Linked DNA regions of Canis lupus familiaris. The protein of the gene in region 3 purifies or fractionates together with the protein of the main gene of each other region. This does not show direct contact. Links are inferred from orthologs where the notes say so. Each region holds a gene or a part of one and is shown on either strand. Other genes may lie near its edges. The genes, in order: ANKS6, ANKS3 and NEK7.

Region 1 (3,741 bases), on a different chromosome or scaffold from region 3:
CTCCGCGCCCGGCAGAAGTCCCCGGAGCAGCCGGGCAGGGCCGCACCCGCAGAGGCGCACCCGCCGCCGGAACTCGCGGTCCCTCCACGCGCGGCGAGGACGCGTGGCCCCGGCCCTGGCGCGCGCCCGGCACACAGTAGGGGCGCGGCTCCCACGCGCGCCCGGCACACAGTAGGGGCGCGGCCCTGGCCCCCGCGCGTGCCCCGCACACAGTAGGCACACAAGAGCGCGGCCCCGGGCCCTGCGCGCGCCCGGCACACAGTAGGCACACAGTAGGGGCGCGGGCCAGCCCCCCACCCCCGCGCGCCCAGCACGCAGTAGGACCGCGGCGCCCCCCCCCCCCCCGCACGGCACACAGTAGGCGCGCGGCCCCGGCTCCCCCCGCCCCATCGCGCGCGCCCGGCACACAGTAGGAGCGCGGCCCCGGCTCGCCCCCCACCCGGCGCGCTCCCGGCACACAGTAGACGCGCGGTCCCGGCTCCCCCCCCACCTCCCCGCGCTCCAGGCACACAGTAGACGCGCGGCCCCGGCTCCCCCCCCCCCCCCCCACCTCCCCGCGCTCCCGGCACACAGTAGACGCGCGGCCCCGGCTCCCCCCACCTCCCCGCGCTCCCGGCACACAGTAGACGCGCGGCCCCGGCTCCCCCCGCCCCACCTCCCCGCGCTCCAGGCACACAGTAGACGCGCGGCCCCGGCTCCCCCCCCCCCCCCACCTCCCCGCGCTCCCGGCACACAGTAGACGCGCGGCCCCGGCTCCCCCCGCCCCACCTCCCCGCGCTCCAGGCACACAGTAGACGCGCGGCCCCGGCTCCCCCCCCCACCTCCCCGCGCTCCCGGCACACAGTAGACGCGCGGCCCCGGCTCCCCCCACCTCCCCGCGCTCCCGGCACGCAGTAGGCGCGCGGGCGGCGGGCGGAAGGGGGCGCTGGCGCGCGGTATCCGGGGGCGGAGCCGGCGCGGCGGGCCGGGCGGACGGGCGCGGGCCGCGGGCCGCGATGGGCGAGGGCGGGCTGCCCCCGGCCTTCCAGCTGCTGCTGCGCGCCTGCGACCAGGGCGACACGGAGACGGCGCGGCGGCTGCTGGAGCCGGGGGCGGCGGAGCCGGCGGAGCGCAGCGCGGAGCCCGAGGCGGGCGCGGAGCCCGCGGGGGCCGAGGCGGCCGGGCCCGGGCCCGGGGCGGCGGCGGCGGCCGGGGCGCCGGTGCCCGTGGACTGCTCGGACGAGGCGGGCAACACGGCGCTGCAGTTCGCCGCGGCCGGGGGCCACGAGCCGCTTGTGCGCTTCTTGCTGCGCCGCGGCGCCTCGGTCAACAGCCGCAACCACTACGGCTGGAGCGCGCTCATGCAGGCAGCCAGGTGAGCTCGGGTCGGGCCCCCAGGGCTGGCGTCGGGCCGACCCCGGGGCGAGCGGGCTCAGGTGGCCGCCCCGCCCGGAGCCCCTCCCGCAGACGCCCCGGGAGCTAAAGAGTCTGGGACTCGTTCGAGAGAGCTGGACTGGTGAACTTGGAGCAGCTCGGGATCCTAGAAGAAGTGGAAGCGCTTTTTAATGATAAAACCAGAATCTTTTTTTTTTTTTAAAGATTTTATTTATTCATGAGACAGAGAGAGAGAGAAAGAGATAGAGAGAGAGAGACAGGCAGAGGGAGAAGCAGGCTCCATGCAGGAGCCCAACGTGGGACTCGATCCCAGGTCTCCAGGATCAGGCCCTGGGCTGAAGGCGGTGCTAAGCAGCTGAGCCACCCGGGCTGCCCTAAAATCAGAATCCTACGAACAGTGGGCCTTTCGAGAAACAATCTGAAGACCTCGTCGAATAGAATCTTAGAGACACATGATCTTAGGGGTGTTCATTCATGCCTTCTTGCAACCTAGGTTTCCTAAGAACCTACCTACTCCTCTCCCTAGCCTAAGAGAGGGGGACCCTGCTGGATCCGGGGAGTCCCACCGACAGCAGCTCGCGCACGCGTGGGCAGGCCAAAGAGATAGGGCTCAATGAGTGGGGAAAGTGCGGGGAGCTCTGGACAGGGCAGACCCAGTTTGGGGAAGTGGAGGAAGGTTTTTGGTAAGGAGGATGCATTTATTCAGGTTGAGACTCTATAGGAATTAACCAGGACAGAAGAAGTGGGAGGTGGGAATGGGGTGATAGGAGGCCCATGCAAAGGTTTGGAAGCAAAAGTGAACGTAAGGCATTGGTAGGACTGCTAGAACCGTGATCAGTACTAGGAGAGGGCTAGAAGTAGTGGGAGATGAGCCTCCCCTGGAGAGGAAGGCAGATGCCATGTGGCTGGGCTGAGAAGGATGTGCTATCCTAAGGGCATTGGGGAGTAATAGATGGTTCTAGGCAGAGTGAGCGACACAATCAGATTTATGTTTTGGAAAGAAAGATCACTTTCACTGCAGTGTGAGGACGGATTGGAGGGATGGGCTAGAGTCGGAGAGCCTGGTTAGCAGCAGTCTAGGGAGAAGTGATGGTAGCCTGGACCCGAGCAGAGACAGCCGTGGGAGAGCAGTGAGGTGTTCGAGATGTATTCAGGAAGCAGGGCGAACAGGACTTGAAGCCCTGGTGGGAAGGAACTCCGGTGTACAGTAAAGTCACTCACCCCTGTTGGCCATCTTTTCAGGCCCCACCCACTCCTCAGTTTGGTCTCTGGTGGATGTTTTAGTAGCAGGAATGGTTACATTCATGTTTTTTCCTCTTCTGGACATGATAAGCTTTATTGAGCACTTTTTGTGTCCAGCACGGTGCTAAGTGCTTTAAGTGAGGTAACTCATTCAATCTGCAGAAACCTCAGGACGTGTAGGTACTGTCGTCATCCCCATTTTACAGATGAGGAATTGAGGCTCAGAGAGTTAACTTGCCCAAGGCCACACAACTCATACTATGGCAGAGTCACATTCACACTGAGGTGGGTGACCCCAGAGCCTGTGCTCTCAGCCTGTGCTCTCGGCCACCAATCTTGTAACCGACTGTTTCCCCTTAGTGTCGGCCACAGGGAAGCTACTCTCCAAATTGGCCAAATGCTAAAGGGACAGGTTGCATGGTGTTTGCTTTGGCCCCAACTTCACCCTTGGCCTCTTTTGTTCTCCTGCTCTCTCCATTTCTCTACCTGATAGTGAGTGTGGCCTCTGTGCCCAGTGCTTTGGGTGGTAGGCGTTTTTGCCCGGTCTTTAAACACAAGTGTTAATTGCCAAAATTAATTGGTAATCACAGCAGCTGTTCAGAAATTCCCACGCTTCCCTATCCTCAGTAATTACCTATTAGAAGCTTAGCATCCACAAAACTATCTCAGCCTTCCTTGAATTCTTTTAAGTTTCCATCGTAATTGAATGACCTCCCGGGCTACCTGTGAGTTCAGAAATGTCCATCCAAATGTCAGCACTTCTGTTCAGTTCACTTCTTTCCTTTCTGTCTGAACACTTTTTATATCAGAAGAGCTGGGGTTTCAGATTTTCGGGTCTAGGTTCCAAGTTTTGACTCCATCACTTTCAAAAGGAGACACTCTGCTTTCCACTCAAATCTTCAGTTTCCTCATCTGTGAAAAAGGCATTATTAGTTTATTTTAGGGTTTATTAAGATCAAATGAGATAAAAATGTGACAGCACTTTTTAATCTGCTGTAAGGAATTATACTAGATTTTATTTTAAGCTTGATAACTAAATAGTGGGATTTTTAAAAATTCTCTACTTCGGTGCAGGATACATGAGTTCTGTAGTCATTTCCCTGGCCTTCATCCAGACCATCCTCT
Region 2 (3,641 bases), on a different chromosome or scaffold from region 3:
GTGCATGGAGCCTGCTTCTCCCTCTGCCTGTGTCTCTGCCTCTCCCTCTCTCTATGTGACTATCATAAATAAATAAAATTAAAAAAAAAAAAAAAAAAAAAGAAACCACTGGACCAGGCAGCCCGGGTGGCTCAGTGGTTTAGCACCGCCTTCAGCCCAGGGCCTGATCCTGGAGACTGGGGATCGAGTCCTGCATCGGGCTCCCTGCAGGGATCCTGCTTCTCCCTTGGCCTGTGTCGGTGCCCCCCACCCCCCATGAATAAATAAAATCTTTAAAGGGGAAAAAAAAAAAACACGGGACCTAGAGGACATCTGATGACCTAGTCAAAGGAATGAGAAAAACCCTCCAGAATGCTGTATCCAAGTAAGAACTATCCTTCAGAAGTAAAGGAGAAACTAAGATGTCACACTGTCGCAGGCTAACAAAGCCAAGAGAGTTTGTGGCCACCGGACTCGCCCTCCAAGAAACTGAACGCTGTCCAAGCTGAAGTGAAGACACAGGCTCAGAGAGCCTCCGGGCTACCCATGCCGCCTGAGGGCACAGAGAGGGGGTGGCCGGGGCTCTGGGGGCCGCCAGCACTGTCCCACTGTGGAGCTTGGGGGCTGGCCGGGTTCACCCGGACGGGGCCACCCGTCCTCTGACCTGTCCCCGCTCCTGTACCCTCCAGGACCTCGCCACGCTGCTGGAGCAGATTGGGTGTCTGAAGTACCTGCAGCTGTTTGAGGAGCAGGACGTGGACCTCCGCATCTTCCTGACCCTCACTGAGAGCGACCTGAAGGAGATTGGCATCACGTGAGTGCAGAGGGGCCCTTCGTGGCCGCACCCCCGTCTCTGGCGTGAAGCTGAGCCCGCAGCTTCCCCTCATGTGGGTGGAACTAGCTGCCCTGTCTTGTCTGAGGTTCCACTTGCTTCCTATAGCAGCGTCCGCTCCAGCCCTCCAGCTGCCCCTGGCTTAGGTGCTGGAGGGCTGGGTCCTGTGGCTCCCTCAGGCTCCCCAAGCCTGGCCTGAGCCCCCTGTTCAGTGAGAACAGCAGCTGGGCAGGGGAGGCCAGCCCTAGCTGGGGTCACTTCTTAGAACCATTTGTCTTCTGCCCTAGGATCCTGGGGGCCACTCTCCCCCTTCCAAGCTGGGCCCTTTCTTAAGGGACCGTCTTGGTGTAAGGACAGTCCGTGGCATCTCTACGCACACAGCAGACGTATATACTTCTCTCTATCCTCCTCGCAGGTTATTTGGGCCTAAGAGGAAGATGACCTCTGCCATTGCCCGCTGGCACAGCAGTGCCCGTCCCCCCAGCGATGCCCTGGAGTTGGCCTATGCTGACCGGCTCGAAGCTGAGATGCAGGAGCTTGCCATCCAGCTGCACAAAGTATGAGGGGGCGTGCAAGAGAGGGGTGTGGAGACGCCTGCAGTAAAGGACAGCATAGGGGGTGAGCAGGGAGGACAGATCTGCAGGGTCAGCAGGGAGAAGCAGCCAGGACAGTTAAGGGCAGAGAGCATTATTGCTGTGCAGGAGGGGAGACACATGGGCGTCTGCCTGGGAAGAAGGCTCAGGAAGGGATGGGGACTCGGGGCAGGAGCTTACATGGACACAGAAGATCAAGGGGGAGGGCAGAGAACAAGCAGCAGGCTTGGATGCCACAGGGCTTGAGGGAAGGGGCCCAAAGCAGAGGCGGCTCTGTCTGGAGACACGCGTCCCCTTCCTCCGGCCCAGTAGAGTGGGAGTTGAGAGCCGGTGGGGATGGCAGAGCCGACTGGGGCTGGCAGGACCCAACCGAGGTGGCCCTGGCCTTGAATCCCCCTGGCTCACTCACCCGCCCCATCTCCTCTCAGCGCTGTGAGGAGGTGGAGGCCATGCGAGGCCAGGTGTCGCAGGAGCAGGAGCTGCGGGCGGTGGTGGAGAGCTGCCTCCTGGAGCAGGACGGTGCCCGTGAGGACGTGCGTGCCCAGCTGCAGGAGACGTGGGCCCTGGCCCAGGACGCTGCTCTCATCTTGGACCAGCTGCGGTGAGTGGGCACCTGAGCTGCCCTGGGCCCGACCCTGAGCCACCACTGCCTCCAGATGCTTCAGCCAAGGGTTGGTTTTAGGGCCTTCTGGGGCCACTCGCTGCCATCCTCCGTTTCATTCTGGCTTTTCCTTTCTGCAGGGCAGACCCAGGCAGCAGATAGGGCCCCGCGCATCTGCATGCTGGTCCCCAAAGGCGCCTGGTGTGCTTGCCCTGAAGGCAGGGCCCCCCTGACACTCAGGGAGATGGGGTATCTGTGTCCCGCTGGGGCCGTGGGAGGCACTATTGCCCAGCCTCTCCCCTCACCAGCGCTTGGCCTTGTGTCTGGCAGAGCCTGTCAAGCCGAACTGTCAGCCAGAGTGAAGCAGGAGGTGTCCACCCGAGGGCTCCCCCTGGCCGCTGCCCTCCCCACAGCTGGTAAGAACCGTGTTCTTGCCCCGGATCACGTAGGTGCTGTCCTAGGCCTCCGGTTCCAGCTCCAGCTCTTTCCTCCACACAATCGCAGGTCCCAGAGCGAGGGTGCCCTCTCTCACCCATGTCCTCCCCGTGGTGGGGGGCAAAAGCCCTTGGGCCCTGGCTGACGCTGCTGTCCACGATCTCAAGTGATTTCTGCAGCCTATAGTTGGGGCCGCCCCAGGACAAAGCCTCCCTGTAGGCCAGGCCCCCCCCCCCTTCCACTCCCGGGGCTACTGGCAGCCAGTGCTTTGGAAAAACAGCTGGGAGGACACACTTTGGTGTAGCAAGGTCATGCAGGAAGCAACAGCTAGGTGGGTCCCCTGGTCACGGCAGCTCAGGACAGAGGGGCAGGACCTATGGTGACCACATGCATTCCAGGCCCACCTGGCTTTATGTCCCACAGACTGGCAGGCCTCCCTGCAGGCTCTGAGCCTCCCTGAGCTGTCAGGAGCACTGGAGGATCGAGTCCAGGAAATGGGTGAGTGTCCAGGAGGGCAGCCAGAGGTCTCCCACCCACTGGGGGCCACAAGGGGGGAACAGGAGGAGCCCTGCTTGGTCAGCTCCGACCCTGGGGTGGCTCCTGCCGTGTAGCCCGCTTCCCCTCACTGCCAGGCATCCCTAGGACCTTCCCTTCTCACGCTGGCAAAGCAGGAACTAACTGCTCCCATCCTCAGGGCGAGTGCTATGCTCAGTGACCCAGAGCTTGGAGAAGCTGCAGGTGCTGAACGGGAAGGAGAACTGGCGGGAGCCTTAGCTGGGAGGGACGGTGAGTGTCCCCCAGGCCCCAGGCCGGGAGAGCAGGGCACCCTGGGCAGCGGTGAGCGCCCCCTTCAGGCTTCTCTTTCCCTTCTCAGACTCTGACGTTGGGTGACTGATCCACCCTGAAGCTGTGTGCCTGGAAGACAGGAGGGCAGAGTGTGGGCGCTGCCGCAGGCCGGGCCCCACTGGGCCGGAGGATCAGGCCCCAGGAGCAGCCGGCAGAAGCAGGACAGGGCTGGGGCCAGGGCAGCAAGGCCCACACGGAGGCAGGACGAGGGCCTCCAGCCCAGAATCTGGGGGTGAGGCCCAGAGTGGGCAGGGCCCTGGGGAGAGAGGATCCCCATACACCGCAGGTGCCCCACAGAAAGGACTGGGCACCTGGGCAGCATATGTCATTTGCTGGAAAATAAAATGTGAGATTT
Region 3 (3,741 bases):
TCCTTAGAACAGTGACTTAACATTTATTATTCCTTATTGAGCCAATGGAATTAACATCCCTTCTTGAGATCTTGACTTAACCTTTCTTTTTGGGCAAAAAATAAACTTTCCAAATCTTAATTCCATAGCTTTACTTTTTTTTTTTTGTAAATTTAGGATATTTCATTTTATTTTATGCTCAAGTGATTATGGGGGGTTGGGAAGTTTGTAATTTATAGGGCAGGCAGGCTGGCGATTCAGGTAAGAATTGCAATCTTAAAAAAAAAAAAGAATTGCAATCTTGAGTGTGAATTCTACGGGGCAGACAGGTAGGCTGGAACCTCAGGCAAATTTCTGCGCTGCGCCTGTGAAGCTCAATTCATCATTTGGCAAACCTGTCTTTGCTCTTAAGGCCTCTAATTGATGAAGTTCACCCTGTCATACGAACTTGTAAAGATTCTGGCATTAGTGCCTCATTGACTTGTGGGCCAGCAATTTTAGCGGGGCTCAGCTGGAGGAATTTTTTTCTGCTCTGCGTGATGTTGGCTGCAAGAGCTGGTTTGATTTACAGGGTCTGGGATGGGTTCACCCACGTGCCTAAAACCTTGGTGGGAGGTCTAGAGGGCCGTGCGATCTCAGGGGCTCTCCATGTGGTCTTCCCAGTAGGGTAGCTGGACTTCTTACAGGGAGGCTCACAGCTCCAAGAGCCCGAGGTGCAAATGCCAGTTCTCTGAAGGCCTCGCCTAGAATCTTTCACAGTATAGTTTCTCCCAAACTCCACCGCTCAAAGTCACCAGAGATCAGCGCAGATACAAGTGGGGAGGGAATGAGGCTCCACCTCCGTGGGAGGAACGTGCAAGAGCTCGCGACCCACAGCACCTGCGAGCGAGCAGACGCGTACCAGTGTCCTCTTGACACCCCCGTGGCTTTAACTTTTGAAGTCTCGGAGCTGTAATCTGTTCATTCTTGGTTCCAACCCCTTGGGTGGGTAAGCCGAGCTAGTGCAAGACCTGGTGGGGGGGGGCAGTAACAGCTACTTAAGGGGTACTTAGGGGCTAGGTTCTTGTCTTGAAGCACCTTGCTTATCTCGTTTAATTCTAACCTGGGTCCTGTCGAGGAGTATTATTACTGCTCTTGTGCTCACCCCGGGGGAGGTGAGTGAACTTGCTGCCACGTCACCGAGTTCATGGGGGGGTGGGGGTAGGGGTGGTACGAAGATTAGGGCGCCGGCCTGCTCGGCTCCGTACCGCCTGCTCCGGGTCATCTGCAGCAACACGTGCCCAGGTGCTCCCGGAGGAGAGTCTCGCGGCTCCGCTGGAGCCCCGGGGTCCCGGGGGGTCTCCGGTGCCTCCCAGTCCCCAGGAGCGGCTCAGTATTGCGGAACGCCCTAACAGCCCTAACAGCCGGCGTCCCCGATGCCAGGCGTGGTTAGCGCAGAGGTAGTTTGAACCACCTGGTAAAAGAGGGTGGAATCGACACGCCGGGATCCGGGGGGCGGGGGGGGTGTGCACCGGGGGAGCTCGCTGCTTGCACGCGGCGGCACGCACATGCCAGCGGAGAGGGCGCAGGCTCCCGGGCAGCGGCCGCCCCGGGCTCGGGGGGAGCCGGGCGGCGGGGCCCGGGCGCGGGAGGAGGAGCCGGCGGCCGCCCCGCCCCGCTCCTCGGGGCTGCCGGGATGTTTACACCGCTGACAGCGGCGGCCGCGGGAGGAGGGGCGGGAGGTGCGGAGGATGGGCCGCCGCTAGGCTCGCCCTCGGGCCGCGCCTCGCCGTGCGCAGGGTGGGGGCCGCGCCGGCAGCGTCCGCGGGGGCGGCGCGGCGGGAGGTGGCGATCGGCTCCCGGCCTCGCAGCCACAGCCCCGGGCCCAGCGGGCCTCTCCGCGGCGCCGCCCGGCCCAGCCGCCCCGGGGCCCCCGGCGGGCAGGAGCGCCGGAAACTTCCAACTTCCCGGTGAGTGGCTGCCGGGGGCTCGGGCGCCCGGGGCCGGGCGGGGCTGCCCGCGGGAGGCGGGCGCGGAGGGCGAGCACGGGAGAGCGCGGGCGGCCTGCGGGATCCCCCGGCGGGGCGGGGCGGGGCGGGGCGGGGCGCGCCGGGCGGGGGCGGGCGCGGGGGCGGGCGCGGGCGGCAGGAGCTCGGTGCCCCGCTCGGGCTTGGCGGCCTCGGGCTGCCGTGGGCGCCGCCGTAACTAAGAAGCTCGGCGGCGGCGGCGGCGGCGGCGGCAACAGGTCTCTGGTTGCAGGACCCGAGGAACTTGGGCGAAGTCCCGCCTCCCGGCCCTCGGCTGCTGCTCATTGGCGGCGCCGGTTATTTATCCGTCGCTGATTGGTTGGGTCCGGCTGTCAGGCTTCGGCGGCGGCCCGACTTCGGAGGAGTGAAGTTCGCCCGGTAGAGTGGGCGGGGGGCGCGGCGCGGCGGACGGAGTAGCCGACGGAGTAGCTGAGGTCGCCTGAGAAGTGCAGGGAGGATGGCCGACCCGGCGGGGAGTGGGGTTTCGTGGGACCCCGCTAGATTTAGCAGATGTGTGTGTGTGCGTGCGTGAGATTGCAAGGCAATAGAGAGCCTTGGTGGTGATGGTGGCAATGCAAAAATAAGTTGAGAATTGAGGCCGAAGCCAGGGAGACCAAGGGGACCCCCATAAAAAGAAAAAAAAAAAAAAAGAGAAGCCCACATTGCCGTAGCACAGTGCCAGGAAGGAACACTACCTACAGGATGCTGCAGTGGGTGCTGGAGAACTCGAGTTGCCTCTTTGCGGTGTCCTGCAGGCCTTGGGAGATGATGTGCCAGACAGGTAAATCGTGGTCTCTCGTGGCTGTACTCCTGGTTACGCATAGGTACTGAAAATAGACTTATTTTACGGGAGGGTATGTCGCATCCTTGGGCAGCCCTGCAGACGGGACTGGAAAGCCTGAAAACATTACAAAACGAAATGATTTTTCCCTGACTACTGATCGTGAGGATGCTGTTGTAAGAATCGAGGGCCCGTAGTTTCTAGAGCGTCGCGTACCTGTTATTAACCAGAACGACTGCTTCTGACTGTTCCTCCCAAGAGTTTGCAGCGTCGAGAAAGTACGCGCACTCCCTGCAGGCACCGGTAGTGTGTCCTGTGAGGTCGCCCTACAGGCTAGAGGACAGAACGCGTGCGTGGTGGTGACTGCGTGCGGGAGCTCGAGCTGCTGCGGGTGTGGCCGGAGGACGGCTCTGCAGAGGGACAGGCGGACAGAGCGCTGGGAGCGGTGGGTGATCGATCAAGCAAGAGGCACCATCAGCGCTTGCTGAATGGACGCCGAGTATTGCGGGCTTTAGTACTTGGCCAAGGCCAGCGCACCGGGAGCAGTTAACGTAGACCCTAAGCAATCGTGTCCCTCCCAGGGGTAGGAATCCTCTGCTGCCCGCGGGGGATCCAGTCCACAGCTTGCTTCATCCCTAAAACCGCAGCATCTCTTCGGCGGGTGCGGGACGAGGCGCTTGCCTGGGTTGGGGGAGAGGTGTGGGCGCTGTGAGACGCTGCCGCGTGGAGGAGTGTGACCCGCACGTTGAGAGGAGGTTCCTCCCCCTCCACACCCCCCCCCACCCCCGAGTGGAGACTGGCGGGAGGTCTGGGCTGGGGAGCGCCGCGGCGACCCGGGGCGACGTGCTGGCCTGCGCCGCTGCTCCCCGCGGCCTCCCCCCCGGAGGCCCCGCCCCCCGCAGCTCCACCCCCGGAGGCCCCGCCCCCCGCAGCTCCGTCCCCCGGAGGCCCCGCCCTCCGCAGCACTGACGGCCC

Evidence for each region.
Region 1: the proteins of NEK7 (region 3) and ANKS6 purify together in Homo sapiens (affinity purification with mass spectrometry; 3 studies listed by BioGRID and IntAct, with this or other methods). This does not show direct contact. The link is inferred for Canis lupus familiaris from reciprocal best matches to the Homo sapiens genes NEK7 and ANKS6.
Region 2: the proteins of NEK7 (region 3) and ANKS3 purify together in Homo sapiens (affinity purification with mass spectrometry; 3 studies listed by BioGRID and IntAct, with this or other methods). This does not show direct contact. The link is inferred for Canis lupus familiaris from reciprocal best matches to the Homo sapiens genes NEK7 and ANKS3.

What each region holds. Positions count from the first base shown.
Region 1 is NC_049232.1:56,228,261-56,232,001, reverse strand, and holds the start of ANKS6 (ankyrin repeat and SAM domain-containing protein 6), read left to right. Parts: upstream 1-995; coding exon 996-1,354; intron 1,355-3,741.
Region 2 is NC_049227.1:36,999,892-37,003,532, forward strand, and holds part of ANKS3 (ankyrin repeat and SAM domain-containing protein 3), read left to right. Parts: intron 1-668; coding exon 669-793; intron 794-1,226; coding exon 1,227-1,368; intron 1,369-1,832; coding exon 1,833-2,005; intron 2,006-2,145; coding exon of another isoform or gene 2,146-2,167; exon of another isoform or gene 2,168-2,318; intron 2,319-2,335; coding exon 2,336-2,421; intron 2,422-2,863; coding exon 2,864-2,938; intron 2,939-3,134; coding exon 3,135-3,214; 3' UTR 3,215-3,226; intron 3,227-3,294; exon of another isoform or gene 3,295-3,314; coding exon of another isoform or gene 3,315-3,331; 3' UTR 3,332-3,641. UniProt on the Homo sapiens protein: May be involved in vasopressin signaling in the kidney.
Region 3 is NC_049228.1:4,479,180-4,482,920, reverse strand, and holds the start of NEK7 (serine/threonine-protein kinase Nek7), read left to right. Parts: upstream 1-944; 5' UTR 945-963; intron 964-1,399; exon of another isoform or gene 1,400-1,418; intron 1,419-1,815; exon of another isoform or gene 1,816-1,928; intron 1,929-2,344; exon of another isoform or gene 2,345-2,363; intron 2,364-2,396; exon of another isoform or gene 2,397-2,883; intron 2,884-2,982; exon of another isoform or gene 2,983-3,608; intron 3,609-3,741. UniProt on the Homo sapiens protein: Protein kinase which plays an important role in mitotic cell cycle progression. Required for microtubule nucleation activity of the centrosome, robust mitotic spindle formation and cytokinesis.